Caenorhabditis elegans: one gene and its partner. The protein of the gene in region 1 interacts with the protein of each later gene in a biochemical or structural test. Each region holds a gene or a part of one and is shown on either strand. Other genes may lie near its edges.

The links. The genes of interacting proteins can lie anywhere in the genome.
Region 2: the proteins of spd-5 (region 1) and zyg-9 form a complex in vitro, tested with the Caenorhabditis elegans proteins (one study listed by BioGRID).

What each region holds. Positions count from the first base shown.
Region 1 is NC_003279.8:5,170,428-5,178,516, reverse strand, and holds spd-5 (Spindle-defective protein 5), read left to right. Parts: upstream 1-1,862; 5' UTR 1,863-1,919; intron 1,920-2,980; 5' UTR 2,981-2,995; coding exon 2,996-3,047; intron 3,048-3,098; coding exon 3,099-3,286; intron 3,287-3,333; coding exon 3,334-4,431; intron 4,432-4,478; coding exon 4,479-4,560; intron 4,561-4,605; coding exon 4,606-5,003; intron 5,004-5,051; coding exon 5,052-5,265; intron 5,266-5,308; coding exon 5,309-6,194; intron 6,195-6,243; coding exon 6,244-6,494; intron 6,495-6,544; coding exon 6,545-6,876; intron 6,877-6,927; coding exon 6,928-7,023; 3' UTR 7,024-7,215; downstream 7,216-8,089. Other genes in the region: npp-6 (NUP160 middle TPR domain-containing protein), read right to left, coding at 1-314, 373-1,016, 1,067-1,192, 1,241-1,545, 1,600-1,681; Condensin-2 complex subunit hcp-6, read right to left, coding at 7,216-7,368, 7,413-7,756, 7,858-7,944. UniProt on the Caenorhabditis elegans protein: Plays a central role in centrosome maturation and mitotic spindle assembly during the first division of the zygote. Required for the centrosomal localization of air-1 and zyg-9. Probably not required in late embryogenesis and during larval development.
Region 2 is NC_003280.10:8,455,977-8,464,102, forward strand, and holds the start of zyg-9 (Zygote defective protein 9), read left to right. Parts: upstream 1-1,841; 5' UTR 1,842-1,844; coding exon 1,845-2,036; intron 2,037-2,082; coding exon 2,083-2,940; intron 2,941-2,987; coding exon 2,988-3,566; intron 3,567-5,068; coding exon 5,069-5,155; intron 5,156-5,254; coding exon 5,255-5,407; intron 5,408-5,456; coding exon 5,457-5,910; intron 5,911-5,957; coding exon 5,958-6,304; intron 6,305-6,502; coding exon 6,503-7,015; intron 7,016-7,132; coding exon 7,133-8,061; intron 8,062-8,126. Other genes in the region: F22B5.6 (Serpentine Receptor, class J), read right to left, coding at 138-167. UniProt on the Caenorhabditis elegans protein: Plays a major role in organizing microtubules and spindle poles during mitosis and meiosis in one-cell stage embryos. Required for default nucleus positioning in oocytes.

The DNA.
Region 1 (8,089 bases):
CAATATCAAATGGATAGATATCTGTATCAAAAACCACATCAATCAGTGTTTCTATGCTTGAATCTGCCGAGAGGTTATATGGGCGCTCAATTGCAGGTTCCACTTCATCCGTATTGCCGATCGGTTCTTCTTTGGTAGTGGCAGGCGAAGTGAACTGACGAACGGAATGCCAATCGAAATCTGTGAAAACTCGTCCCTTTTTCCATTGGATAGCAAATGAGATCCGTTTCATCGAATAGGTTTTCTTTGCAGATGAACTTTTGAAAAGAGCAGAAAGTGAAAATAGTGCAGCTGTGAGAGGATTATACAATTCCCTGAAACAATTTTATATTTAGACAAGAAAAAAACCCATTTTATAACAACGATTCTTACCCATCTTGTGTCTCATCAAGACTTTCCGATTCCTTTGATGGGAAATAGTTTTGAATAAGCTCGAGATCAACAAGTCGTTCATCAACGGACATCGATGTTTCGAACATTTGTAGATGTTGAATTTGATCATTTGAAACTTTGAGAATATGAACTCTCATCCCGACGCTTTTTCCCGAAACTGCCAAATCACATCCAACAATCAGAAGAATATCCACATCGAATGAATAAGCTCTGATAGAATATACAGTTTCAGTTGGTTCCATTGGAGACTTTTCTTCCTCGAAGTCTGCAGATTCTAGATCTCGATTCAAAGATTTTCCGTCTGAAGCAAAGTAGTTATTCAAGTCAATAGTGCTTGGCAATTGTTTTTTCGTCTCAACATTCCATGCTTGCACCCATCCGTCTCTGGTAACAGCGAACACAATATCGGATTGGACTGAAATTTTTCGCTCTCTCGTGACTCCAGAAGTCGGGCGAAGATTCTTCATAACACATGCATCACTGACTCGTTTATCAGTGCCACCTAGAAGTTTTCCCAGAAGACCAACTTCTCCCATTGTGAATTCTTCGTGTTTATCACTGGATTCCGTGTATGATCCCAATGTGACAATGACCAACTGCCCTTCAGCGGTACAGTAAGAAATCTGAATTCAAAATTCGAAATATAGGTTGTAATCAATTTCCATTTTTATACCGTATTTCTTGAAGGATGATGTGTAACACTTGCACGAATCGGGCGCCCTGGTGTTGAAAGGGAGTGAGATGTTCTGAATCGGCGGAAATCGTCATCTTCTTTAATTCTTGCAAGAATTGAGAACGTCTGAAAATAATTATTCTCATTCGATTATGGAAATTTTTGAGAACAAACATCATGGCCTTTGGAGTGGAGTCTCGCGTAGAAACGATGAATTGCAGAAGCTGTGGGAACGACAATACATAAAACCCCTTCCTCGAAAATTGTTATCGATGTTCCAGGAATAATAGGTGTGCGTGTGAAGTCAATGCACAACGATCCATCCGTGATTGAGTAGAGCAAAGAACGCTCCTCAATGAACAGTTTCTGGCCAATCGCACGCCACAGGAAAATCCGATCGCCGTAATTTGAGCAGTGCGGAAATGTTGCAACTCCTGCGGACGGTTGCACATCAAATCCATTCGAATGAAGCGGCGCATCTAAAAAAGTGAAATTTGTTGTAGAAACAATTATTTAATGAAATTGAAACTTACTGGTGTTTACCACAAAAGTTCTAGCCGGCTTTATAGCAAATCCATCCGTGAAGCTGATTTCCGACCCGTAAACCAGCTCCATCTGAAATTAAGCATAAAACACGATGTTAAAGCAAAAGAGAAATATGGAGATGAAATAAACACGTTCAAAAATATTTAAATATCGTTAAAAACAATTTTTCATTGGCGTGAACTTGTTTTACTTGTTTTTTATACGTTTTTTTATACGTGAAAAAATGGAAGAAAACAATTCACTTTAAATTTTAATCACTTATCGAGAAGGTTCTCATTGGATTCAAAGAAAAACTTGTTAGAAATTTGTGAGTTTTTACAATAAGCTTCATATTTTGACACTTTGCGATGTAAAATTTTACAAAACAATGATGAATTGAGCCGAAAACGCCTCCATATGGAGCTCCATTCGAATTCAAAAATAAGGGGCGTGGCTGCATGAGCAATACCGCCGCATGGTATTTCGCAACATGCGCACACTTTTTCTCTGTCAAGAAAAACGAGGCCCCACGAAAAGGGGATCTGCAAAAAGGGGATCTGCGAAAAGGGGAGATACGAAAAGGGGAGATACGAAAAGGGGAGCAACGAAAAGGGGATCTGGCACTGTGCCAAACGCTATTTTTCTCGAAGAAAACGATACAACGATTGTCGCGAATACGCAGAATACTGAGTCATCAACAATGACAAAGCCGGGAAACTCCTGTTTGAAAGCCGCGCCAAAAGACACACACGTCACGCGTGTTACAGTACTACCACACATGCACATCAAACCCCAACACGTCGACACCACGCAAGGAAATCGTCACTTCTTCGTTTTACTCTTGGACCGGCAGGTCGCATGTTAAATATATGAGCTTTCTCATTTTTATCATTTAACGGATTTATCAGTAATAAATTATATAATTCTACCACTTTTGAACCTATACCGATCCGAAACATGGTGCATCGGCTCCGATGTTACGCGTCGCGTGTTGTTAAGCGTATCTTCTAGAAGAAAATTTCAAAAATCAACGTGCGTTGCGTGAGAAAAATTGCGTTTTGTGCGTTTGGCACAGTGCCAGCTCCCCTTTTCGTTGCTCCCCTTTTCGTATCTCCCCTTTTTGCAGATCCCCTTTTCGTTCTGCTCCCCTTTTCGTGGGGCCTCAGAAAAACGCGCGCCTAAACGTGAATTTTGAATTTTCTCCGCGTCCGCGAAATTCTTACGTTTCCATAGTAACAAAAGTTGGTCCGCACTTGTTTTTCATGATTATGCACGCCCAAAGAACGGTGCTGAAGCTTCAAATTTTGCAACCTCCTGTTCATTTTGACTCAAAACTCTTAATCCCAAAAAAACGCTCAATTTTGTTTTCGAACCCGTTTCTTGTTTCAGAAAACTTCGCGTTAAATGGAGGATAATTCTGTGCTCAACGAGGACTCCAATCTCGAGCATGTCGAGGGTAATTATAACATTTAAAATCAATAACTGCATAAATGCAAAGGTTTTTTAGGCCAGCCACGAAGATCTATGTCGCAACCAGTTCTGAATGTTGAAGGAGACAAAAGAACGTCTTCGACCAGTGCCACTCAACAGCAAGTATTGTCAGGAGCATTTTCGTCTGCTGATGTTCGTAGCATCCCCATCATCCAAACATGGGAAGAAAACAAAGCGCTTAAAACAAAAATAACTATCCTGAGAGTAAGTAATTTATCATATGCTTATTTAGAAATGATTTGAGTTTGTAGGGAGAACTGCAAATGTATCAGCGCCGGTATAGTGAGGCAAAGGAAGCGTCGCAGAAGAGAGTTAAGGAAGTTATGGACGATTATGTCGATCTCAAATTAGGCCAAGAAAATGTTCAAGAGAAAATGGAGCAATACAAACTGATGGAAGAGGATTTGCTAGCAATGCAATCGAGAATTGAAACTTCCGAAGACAATTTTGCCAGACAGATGAAAGAATTTGAGGCACAAAAGCATGCAATGGAGGAAAGAATCAAGGAACTGGAATTGTCCGCTACTGATGCAAACAACACAACTGTCGGATCTTTTCGTGGAACTCTTGATGACATTCTGAAGAAAAACGATCCAGATTTCACATTAACCTCTGGTTATGAAGAAAGAAAGATCAACGACCTGGAGGCAAAGCTCCTCTCTGAGATCGACAAGGTAGCTGAGCTGGAAGATCACATTCAGCAGCTCCGTCAAGAACTTGACGACCAATCTGCAAGGCTTGCCGATTCAGAAAATGTTCGCGCTCAGCTTGAAGCGGCCACTGGACAAGGAATCCTCGGAGCTGCTGGAAACGCTATGGTTCCAAATTCAACGTTCATGATCGGGAACGGTCGTGAATCACAGACGCGAGACCAGCTCAATTACATTGATGATCTTGAAACGAAGTTAGCTGATGCGAAGAAGGAAAATGATAAGGCTCGTCAGGCACTCGTTGAATACATGAACAAGTGTAGCAAGCTTGAGCACGAGATTCGAACCATGGTTAAAAATTCGACATTTGATTCTTCTTCCATGTTGCTTGGTGGTCAGACATCCGACGAGCTTAAAATCCAAATAGGAAAGGTGAACGGTGAATTGAATGTGTTGAGAGCTGAAAATCGAGAACTCCGCATTCGTTGTGATCAATTGACCGGAGGCGATGGAAATCTTAGCATTTCACTGGGACAAAGTCGACTGATGGCTGGTATTGCGACTAATGATGTCGATAGCATTGGACAAGGAAATGAGACTGGCGGAACATCGATGCGCATTCTTCCCAGAGAAAGTCAATTAGATGATCTTGAAGAAAGCAAATTGCCGCTCATGGATACATCATCTGCTGTTCGAAATGTAAGTGTATGAAAATTATTATTTAAAATAAAGTCTTGAATATTTAGCAGCAACAATTTGCCTCCATGTGGGAAGATTTCGAGTCAGTGAAAGACAGCCTGCAGAACAACCATAATGACACCCTTGAAGGTAGTAAAATTGATTCCTAGATTTTTTGAAATTGATTATTGTTAGGTTCCTTCAATTCGTCAATGCCACCACCTGGTAGAGATGCAACTCAATCGTTCCTCAGTCAGAAGTCTTTCAAGAATTCTCCGATTGTAATGCAGAAACCAAAATCACTTCATCTTCACCTGAAGAGCCATCAATCCGAGGGAGCTGGCGAACAAATACAGAATAATTCGTTTTCTACGAAGACTGCTTCTCCTCACGTGTCACAAAGTCACATTCCAATTCTGCACGATATGCAACAAATTCTGGATTCTTCTGCAATGTTCCTTGAAGGCCAGCATGATGTAGCTGTAAATGTTGAGCAAATGCAAGAGAAAATGTCCCAGATCAGAGAGGCTCTTGCTCGACTTTTCGAAAGACTTAAATCTTCTGCTGCTCTTTTTGAAGAGATTCTTGAAAGGGTATGAAAACTGTCAAGTTGTGAATCTGTAAATCTGAGTTTTTTGTAGATGGGATCCAGTGATCCAAATGCGGATAAGATCAAGAAAATGAAGCTCGCATTTGAAACAAGTATTAACGACAAGCTCAATGTATCTGCCATCTTGGAAGCAGCGGAGAAGGATCTTCATAATATGTCACTCAATTTCTCAATTCTCGAGAAGTCGATAGTTAGTCAGGCTGCGGAAGCTTCGAGAAGATTCACTATTGCACCCGATGCTGAAGGTAATATAAATTTTAGAGACGCTCATAAATCAATATTTTCCAGATGTCGCCTCATCTTCTCTTCTCAATGCCTCGTATAGTCCACTCTTCAAGTTTACAAGCAATTCAGACATAGTGGAAAAGCTTCAGAATGAGGTATCGGAGTTGAAAAATGAATTGGAGATGGCTCGTACACGAGATATGAGATCTCCATTGAACGGTTCGTCTGGAAGATTGTCGGATGTGCAGATCAACACCAATCGCATGTTTGAAGATCTCGAAGTATCTGAAGCAACGCTACAAAAGGCTAAAGAGGAAAATTCTACATTGAAAAGTCAATTTGCTGAACTCGAAGCCAATCTCCATCAAGTTAATTCTAAGCTTGGAGAAGTGCGATGCGAGCTCAATGAAGCGTTGGCTCGTGTGGATGGTGAACAGGAGACTCGTGTCAAAGCTGAAAATGCATTGGAAGAGGCTCGTCAGCTCATCAGTTCTCTAAAACATGAGGAAAATGAGCTCAAGAAAACCATTACTGATATGGGGATGCGATTGAATGAAGCAAAGAAGAGCGATGAATTCTTGAAAAGCGAGTTATCTACCGCGCTGGAGGAAGAAAAAAAATCCCAAAATCTAGCAGATGAGTTGAGTGAAGAATTGAATGGGTGGAGAATGAGAACAAAAGAGGCGGAAAATAAAGTTGAACATGCTTCATCCGAGAAATCTGAAATGCTTGAAAGAATTGTTCATTTGGAGACTGAGATGGAGAAGTTGTCGACTTCAGAAATTGCGGCCGACTATTGTTCTACGAAGATGACAGAAAGAAAGAAGGAAATTGAGTTGGCGAAGTATCGCGAAGATTTTGAGAATGCCGCTATTGTAGGATTGGAACGTATCAGTAAGGAGATATCTGAGCTAACCAAGAAGACTTTGAAAGCCAAGATTATCCCAAGGTATTATCAAACGTCGTGCTTGTTTTTTTTTATTTGAGAACATTTTCAGCAACATCTCATCGATTCAACTCGTTTGCGATGAACTCTGTCGTCGTCTTTCCAGGGAACGAGAGCAACAGCATGAATACGCGAAAGTTATGAGAGACGTCAATGAAAAAATTGAAAAGCTTCAATTAGAGAAAGATGCTCTCGAACATGAGCTGAAAATGATGAGCTCTAATAACGAGAATGTCCCACCAGTTGGAACATCGGTCAGTGGCATGCCTACTAAAACATCGAATCAAAAGTGTGCTCAACCTCGTAAGTCATACTTATGCACATCAGAAGTTGAATTTTCACCAATTCTCCAGATTACACGAGCCCTACTCGACAATTGCTCCACGAATCAACTATGGCTGTCGACGCAATTGTTCAGAAACTCAAGAAGACTCACAATATGTCAGGAATGGGTCCAGAGCTTAAGGAGACGATTGGCAACGTCATCAATGAATCCAGAGTTCTTCGCGATTTCCTCCATCAGAAGCTCATTCTATTCAAAGGAATCGATATGTCCAATTGGAAGAACGAGACCGTCGATCAACTGATCACAGATCTCGGACAATTGCATCAGGATAACTTGATGCTTGAGGAGCAAATCAAGAAGTACAAAAAGGAACTGAAACTGACAAAATCCGCCATCCCGGTATGAAATTCTTTTTCTATTGAAATCTATTTTGAAAAATATCATTTTCAGACACTTGGTGTCGAATTTCAAGACAGAATCAAAACGGAAATTGGCAAAATCGCAACTGATATGGGAGGAGCTGTGAAGGAAATTCGCAAAAAGTGAACTGATCTGTTAATGTATTAAAATGGAACCAGTTTTATCAACACTATCATCTCGACAAGATTAACTTGTAACGATTGTATTGTTTTCCCAGCCTAAAGATACACCTAATGCATCTATCAATGTACTTGTGAATTAAATGCTTCTTTTCTGGTAGTTGACTGCAATCCCATTACAGATAATAAAAGGAACAGATTAATTTAATGAAAAAACAGCGGACAATCTTACAATAATACAAACAGTTGAGATAAATAAGACAAATTTCGATGGAAGATTTATACAATGACATTGATCAGCTTTCCTCTTCATCCTCTTCGAAGATATTGTGAAGGTGATAAGCTTGACTTTCTGTAAAATTAAGGCGTTTTGTAAATTCAAGAAATTGTGAATACCTTACTTCTGTTTTTCAAGTCTTCCTTTTCGGTAATAGCCGACAAATTAAGGGAGAATGTGACATCGCTTGGATCTGCGTCTTCTCGTGATCGAATCGGAGTTGAACAATGACGTCCTGCACCAAGCTTACTTTCATCGAAAATCAACGGAGTCACTCCGCGTGACAGTGGATCATTTTCAGTGTTACCAGATGAACTTGTTGGCACATTTTCCTCTTCCTCGTCAACAGATTTCCGTTTTCGATTAGAATTCTCTTTCACGACTGGTGGCTCTGTTGACTGACCCCGACGACTACGACGCAAAGTGACGTTGGCCGAAATATTGACTTCCTTTTCCGGGGATTCTTCAAGAAAATAAATTATTTAAAACACATTTTTTCTTGTGTGAAAGCGTGGTCAATAAAATACAGCAAATTGAACAATGAAATCAGGAAAAATAACTTACTGTTGACAATTTTCGGCTTCTTCCATATTTTTCCATCAGCATCCACAGACTCTTCATCATCGTAATTTGGCGTTTTTCTACGACGAGCTGGAATAATTTTTGAATTCAGACGTTTTTTTTAGTATTGTTTATTGTTTTCGACGATTATGCATTGTAGTTTTTTTCAATCAAAAGTGAGCGAAAAGCCTGTCGTTAACTAACAAATTAATATAATTTTCTGTCGAAAAATAAC
Region 2 (8,126 bases), on another chromosome or scaffold:
AAAAAAATCGTAAGAAACTCGAAGTAACTGGGATCAAATACTACAACAATTGTCATGTCCTACGTTGGAAATTTTAAAGAAAACTGTGAATGATTTTTCAACATGTTGTCTAGTTTTGAAATAAAAGAAAAACGTACTTGTACAAAAAATGGAATGTTCTTCGACATCGTCAGAAGAACGACTTTTTCGCTGACTCAACTGACACTGTTTCATGATACATTGTTTTCTTTTATACCGTATGTTTATATGTATGTTATTGTGTTATAGACGAATTTTCGATGAGACAAAATATGTGAAAATTTTTATTTAGAGTCAAAATATTATCTTCGAGTTCACCGTGAATTATATGATATTGCGCCAGAAGCCACCAGCTTTCAGGAACCGTTGGTAGGATAAGAGCCTCCAAGAAGTACGATGGACGTTTTTTTTGTGAGATCCACGTCGAGAGACAACACGAATTAACATAAGCAAAAGTACCATAGGGGTTTTTCATGCTTCTTCTCACGAATTGTTAAAATTTAGATTTTTTTATTCAAAAAAAAAAGGTTTAATAAACGCGTGCTGCATGCAACACTAACTTTCGGGCCCTTTTTTTTACGCGTGCTGCATACAACACTAACTTTCGAGCACTATTAGAGACTGCAGTATTATCAGAAAATAAATATGATGTTTGTAAATTAACAAGAAACCATCAAAAATATACAAAAACACACATTATTAGAGACTGTAGTACTATTGAAGATGCAGCGCTAATAGGAAATATACGGTATTTGAGAAATCGATAGAAAATCTGCAGTAACCAAAGTTTGCAACAACAGTACTCTTTAAAGACGCGCACCTTTTTCATTTATCAAAAATTTGTCGTGTCGAGACCGCACAGCATTTTTGGCGCCAAATTTCCTGTTTTTCTCGCGTTTCAAACGCGTTTTTTAGGCGTAGGCTCATTTTTGTCTTGTTACAAATCAAAAATTTTCATCTCCCGGTCTCCATATCTGAAATTGACCTTGATCGATGGCTTAAGCGCGCGAATTCTCCCTTCCAAAACACTTCTTGTTCATTTTGCATTCGTATTTTTGAAATAAACATTTCTTCGTTGCGCTTTAATTATTTTTAAGACCAAATTTCGCTATTTAACAGAGCTTTTTAGAAAATGTTTCCTTTCTTGTTCAGTACGCAGTTGACAGCCCCGTCGTTTTACGCGCGCGTTGCGTATCAAGCATGCCACTTGACGACATTTTTATTCGAACGCGCGGTAGAAAATAGTTTTGAAAAGCGCAACGGAAACCTTCTCGCTTTCGCACTTTTTCAATGAATATCAGTTGTTCCCATGTGAGCTCATCATTAAATTGTTTAAATAATTTGTCGTCGCAAGTTAAGCTTTTCAGTGTTTGTCGCACAGTGTTAAGCGTTTGTTCGAGATGTTTCGTCCTTTTTTTGAGATTTTGTTTCTTTGTGAAGCACTTCCATTATCTAATTAATCAAATTTATTATCTGCGTAGTGTTTTAGTATTCACTTGGCTCGAACAAAAAGTTGTATAAAGAATTCATTGATTTTTTGTCCTTTCTTTTTTTTTGCCGCGTAGTGCAACTGAGCCGGCCCGTCCGCCTCTGTTTCTCTGTTTGCGCTTCTTTTTGACGGGTTGCGAAATCGGTCGAAAATGGGCTTGCGGCGAAAAAGTTCCATGTGACCCCAATTACCCCTCGCAGTTCGAAAATATTGATTTTTTCCCTCTACGTTCTCCACCGGAAATCTATTGTTGAAATCTCCTTTCTCTTCAAAACTTATTTTCGTTCGCTTTCTTTGTTTATTGCAAGGCACGTAGTAAACTGTCATTTTTCAGATAATGTCCAATTGGGATTATCTGGACGAGGTGGATATCCTTCCCAAACTTCCACCGAACTTCGATGAGCTGCGAGAATCCAAAAAATGGCAGGAACGAAAAGAGGCATTGGAAGCACTTCTCAAAGTACTCACGGACAATGAGCGACTTTCAACAAAAGCTTCATATGCCGAACTTATTGGTCATCTGCAGATGGTTGGTTTTCATATTTTTCGGTCATTTCTGCAATCTCATTTTACAGGTTCTAGCAAAAGATGCAAACATCAATTGCCAAGCGCTTGCAGCCAAATGCATCGGAAAATTCGCAACGGGATTACGTGCAAAATTCTCTTCTTTCGCAGGACCACTTCTTCCCGTCATTTTCGAAAAAATGAAAGAAAAGAAGCCGATGCTCCGAGAACCTCTTGTAGACTGTTCCAATGAAGTCGGCCGTACAATGCAATCTTTGGAAACTGGTCAGGAAGACATTTTGGCGGCGCTGGCCAAACCAAATCCTCAGATCAAGCAACAGACTGCACTTTTTGTGGCTCGGCAGTTAGATTTGGTGGTTCCAGCAAAACAACCAAAAGGATTCATCAAAGCTGTTGTGCCTGTGTTTGGAAAATTGACTGGCGATGCAGATCAAGATGTCAGAGAGGCATCTCTTCAAGGTTTAGGAGCTGTTCAGCGCATCATTGGAGACAAAAACGTTAAAAATCTCCTCGGCGATGCTTCTTCCGATGAAGGGAAAATGAAAAAGATTGGGGAATATGCTGAAAAATCAACCGCTAGCTTCGCAGAAGAACAAGCTAAAAATGCTCCACCAGTCGCTCCCACTTCTTCGACACCTTCGGCAAGTGCTGCTTCGGGAGATCCATCCGGCGGAACAGCAACTGCTGTTGTTTCATCTGGAGCTCCAGTTGCGGAAGCCGATCCTTGGGATTTTCTTGACGCTTTCGACGTACTTTCCAAAATGCCCGACGGTTTTGATACCAACATCGAAAGCAAGAAATGGCAGGAACGAAAAGAAGCGCTTGAAGGTTTGCTTCAATTGATCACAGCGAATCCGAAGCTCGACCCAAAGGCAAACTATGGCGCACTCGTTGAGAGATTGCAGAAGGTATGTGTATTTTGTCCTGAAAAATTATTTTAAATTCAAATATTAAGGTCCTCGAGAAAGATGCAAATATCAATGTGGCTGCACTAGCGGCCAATTGTATAACTGGTATTGCTAATGGTCTCCGTACGAAGTTCCAGCCGTTTGCTGTGTCTGTGACTCCAATCATTTTTGAGAAGTTCAAAGAGAAGAAACCAACTCTACGTGATCCGCTGGTTGCTTGCATTGATGCAGTTGTTGCAACCACAAATCTCGAAGCAGTTGGAGAAATCGTACTCGCAGCGCTCGGAAAACCAAATCCAAGCATTAAGACTCAAACGGATCTTTTCCTTCAACGATGCTTCATGAAACTGAATTCACAGACCATGCCGAAGAAGACTTTGAAGACGCTGATCCCGTCGTTGATAAAACATTCTGGTGATTCGGATTCGGAAGTTCGTGAAGCATCATACGCTGCAATGGGAGCAATGATGAGAGCCATTGGAGAAAAACCTTCTCTGCAACTTCTCGCCGATATTGCATCGGATAATCTGAAAATGAGCAAAATCAAGGAGTTTCATCAGAAGGCGTTGGATGAAGCTGGGCCCGCAGAGATTGCTGAAATGGTCAAATCGATTCACAAAGCAGATGTGAGTTATTTTATTATTATTAACCAGCCGCTGACCGCGCCTACGGCGCGGGCAACGCCTGGCACCATTAAAAGTATTTGACACACATACCTTCAATCACTCAAAAAATTTCTCATCATGAAAAAAACTTGAAACACTTAAAACGCGGTTTACTGGCACTGTTACATGTATGTATTTTTCTACGACATGCATGTTTCAAAAATTCACAGACAGTATGAAAACTTTCTGTTATTTTTTGACCAAGACAGTAACCTTACAATACCACTACAGTACCTTGACATTATCCTCCACCGACTCCTAACCCAATACCTCTTCAAAGGACGAAATGCCAATTTTTCCAAAACTACAGTAACCCTACCGTATACCTACAGTACCCCTATAGTAACACTACAGTACCTTGACTTGATCCCCCATAAACTCCCGAATAACTACCTCTTCTAAAGCTCTAAGCTCAATTTTTCGGAACATTCCAGAATTTTCTCGATTTTTCTAGAAAGTTCTGGAACATTACAGAAATTTCTCGATTTTTCTAGAAAGTTCTGGAACATTCCAAAAATTTCCCAATTTTTCTAGAAAGTTCTGGAACATTACAGAAATTTCTCAATTTTTCTAGAAAGTTCTGGAACATTCCAGACTTTTCCCAATTTTTCTAGAAAGTTCTGGAACATTCCAGACTTTTCCCAATTTTTCTAGAAAGTTCTGGAACATTACAGAAATTTCTCAATTTTTCTAGAAAGTTCTGGAACATTCCAGACTTTTCCCAATTTTTCTAGAAAGTTCTGGAACATTCCAGACTTTTCCCAATTTTTCTAGAAAGTTCTGGAACATTCCAGAATTTTCTCGATTTTTCTACAAAGTTCTGGAACATTCCAGAATTTTCTCGATTTTTCTAGAAAGTTCTGGAACATTCGAGAATTTTTTCGAAATTTCCAGAAGATTCTAGATTTCCAGAATTTTAGAATTTTCAGAAAATTTAAATTTCCCGCAAAAATATTTTTCACAGAAAACTTAAATTTCTCGCCGAAATATTTTTCTCAGAAAATTTAAATTTCCCGCCAAAATATTTTTCACAGAACATTTAAAATTCCCGCCAAAATATTTTTCACAGAAAATTTAAATTTCCCGCCAAATTATTTTTCACAGAAAATTTAAATTTCCCGCCAAAATTTTGGGTCTTACCACGACGGGTCTCACCACGGTGGGTATTACCACGATGGGTCTCACCACGACGGGTCTCACCACGGTGGGTCTCGCCACGATGGGTCTCACCACGATGGGTCTCGCCACGATGAGTCTCACCGCGAAGGATGACAGACCCCGCCCACAATTCTCAGTGACTTTGGGTGTGACGTCACAGACTACAAAGACTACATAGACTACAAACTATGGAACAAACGGAATTATTTTTTTATATATAAGTAATGATAGTATTTAGAAGTATTCACTGATGATTTTTGTACTGCTTATTTGTAATTTTATTGTGAATGTGTTGTCAAATTTAGGCTCCGCCAGCTGCTGCACCACCGAAAAAAACAGCTCCACCGAAGAAACAACCGGAAGATGAGGAAGTGGTCGAGGAAGAGGATGAGGTGATTAAAATTGTGTTCTTATTTCCATATAGTAATTTGTATCGATTGTGTGGTCGTTTAAAACTGAAAACTTACAATTTTTTATTATTTTTTTTTCAGCCCCTGAAACCACCACCAGGCGATAAGAAGAAGAAAGTTCCCGTGAAGGAGAACGAAGAAAACGAGCCTCCCGTTGTTGCACCAAAAGCCGAACTTTTGCTCAGTGACAACGAGGATAAAAAGCAACGAATCAAGGAAGAGAAGCAATTAAAAGTAATTGCTTTAAATGAGTTAATAATCATACATTCTAATTAATTTGCAGTTAGTCAAATGGAATTTCCAAGCTCCGACTGATGAACATATCTCGCAACTTCAAACCCTGCTCGGAAACCAAGCGAAAGTGTCTCTAATGAGTCAACTTTTCCACAAAGATTTCAAGCAGCATCTTGCGGCTCTTGATTCTCTGGTTCGCCTTGCCGATACATCTCCTCGATCTCTTCTATCCAACAGCGATCTTCTATTAAAATGGTGCACTTTGCGATTTTTCGAGACCAACCCGGCCGCACTTATCAAAGTTTTGGAATTGTGCAAAGTTATTGTGGAGCTAATTCGGGATACAGAAACTCCAATGTCACAAGAAGAGGTGTCTGCATTTGTTCCATACTTGTTATTGAAGACAGGAGAAGCCAAAGACAATATGAGAACTTCTGTCAGGGATATTGTCAATGTACTTTCAGATGTTGTCGGTCCACTCAAGATGACACCCATGCTACTTGGTATGAGAGAAGAAGATCAATAATGTTCTAGTAATTTTTATTTTCAGATGCGCTGAAGTCGAAAAACGCTCGCCAACGTTCCGAGTGTCTGCTAGTCATTGAATACTACATTACAAATGCTGGAATAAGTCCGCTGAAATCGTTATCAGTCGAAAAAACAGTTGCTCCATTTGTTGGTGACAAGGATGTCAACGTCCGAAATGCTGCTATCAATGTTCTCGTGGCTTGTTTCAAATTTGAAGGTGATCAAATGTGGAAAGCAGCAGGAAGAATGGCAGATAAGGACAAGTCGTTGGTTGAGGAAAGAATAAAACGAACAGGAGTGAAACCGGGATCTGGTGTTGTCACCTCGCCGCCAACTGGAGGACCCAAAATTTTAGTGCCACAACAACAGGTTAGTTGTTTAAAATATTTCTCGTAATGAGTCAGGTTCCCTGAAAGATCACTTGAATCGGCCATACAGTCTTACGAGTTGGAAGTAAATAATATTTTTTTTTGTCTCAAATATTTGGAGTTAGTAGTGATTCCCTATTCGATACCCACGCGAAGTTTCGTTCAGTTTTTAGAAAACGAAAAATTACATGTTTTTCAGGGTTCGGTTGTTCGTCGTCCTGCTTCTCGATCTCGTACTCGTGAACCTGAACCAGAAGAAGTTCAAAGCGACACCTTCACTATACGACAAGACACAATGCCTCCAAAAACTTCATCTCGCTATGCACTTCGTGACGACGTCTTTTCGTCAGCCATGGGCCGTCTTGATGGCACTCAAGTCATCACTCCACCACAACCTGTCAATGGCTGGTCAAACAATACCTTCCAAATGAAGCGGACCAATTCTTCATCGTCGATTTCCTCCATAGACACTTCTGATCAAATCCAAAGAAGCATCAACAATATTTCGAGCAGTCTTGCAGATGTTGCTCAAGATGCTATGTTCCAGGTCACTTATGTTCTTAATCAACCTGAACAACGTCATCTTGTTGATCGACGTGCCGATTTGGTGTTTCGTGCATCTGCTGCTCAATTAGATTTGGTGATTGAAGAATTCAATGCTGGACGAGATGTCAGTGGAACTATGGACGCTTGTACGCAAATGCTTTTCATTGTAAGTTATATTTTTCATATGTCATAGTAATCAAGGGGAGTTCCGAAATATATCTGGCTCTCTTTGTTTCATTTAGTCATGCCATGTATATGTATATATCCAAATTTATCTTTTCAGTTGATGGGAGGAGTCGAAACTGAGCACGGCCTTGAGCCACTTAATGCGTCCCCCGACACAGTCAAAGCCATCATCTCTTCGGTCCTCAGATGTATCATCCAAATCGGTAACACAGAGTCCGGATACGGAATGGCAAGATCTCTCAATCGACTGGCAATGCGATTAATCTACAGAGTTGAGCTGTCTAATCTGTTGTGCGGATTGATTCTGGCAATGACTGAATCACTTCAAATGAACACCGGTATAACCGAACTTGTGTCGAAGCTCTCGTCGAAATGGTGTGATGAACTTGAAAAGAGAAGAGCTCAACTGAGAGCCTCGGATATAGTCGACTCATTCAATGCTTTCTACGTTTGTGCACTCACAGAACTTAAAATGGACATCAGCGATTCACACATTTTGATAGTTGATAACTATTTGGAGCGGGTTATCCTTCAGCAAGGAGACGTCGTCTTGGATGCTGCCCGTCGTCTTTCTCGACCACATATGCACTTGACCAGTATGATCAACAAGATTTTACAAATGATGAGAGAACGAAAAATTGATCCTATCATGCCTGGAACATTGGAAGCCAGAATGCCACAAGAGGATGAAGCAGTTGTAGTGCGAAGCGGCGTTCAAGTTTCGATCGACAATATTCTGCGTGATACCTCGATGGCAGTTAAACATATTGAGCAACTGAATATTCTCATTGCATCCAGTGACCGATCTTGGAATGAGTATATGGAATATCTCAAAAATAATCCAATGGGAGAGCTCATCAAGGAGCTAGTCGGCGAGTGTTCCAGAAAGAAGAGGATTGACTTTAACCTCTCTCATGTCGTTAAATCGTCAATGGCAGTTTTCAAAGCCATGGCAGCTACTGGTCCTGTTCAAGAGGAAGGTAGAATAACTCCAACAGATATAAACAGAATGGATACTATGATTGTGTAAGTTTCATAAGACAAAGAACGTAATTTAGCTCTCATCTCATATTTTGCCAAACTAAAAAAAA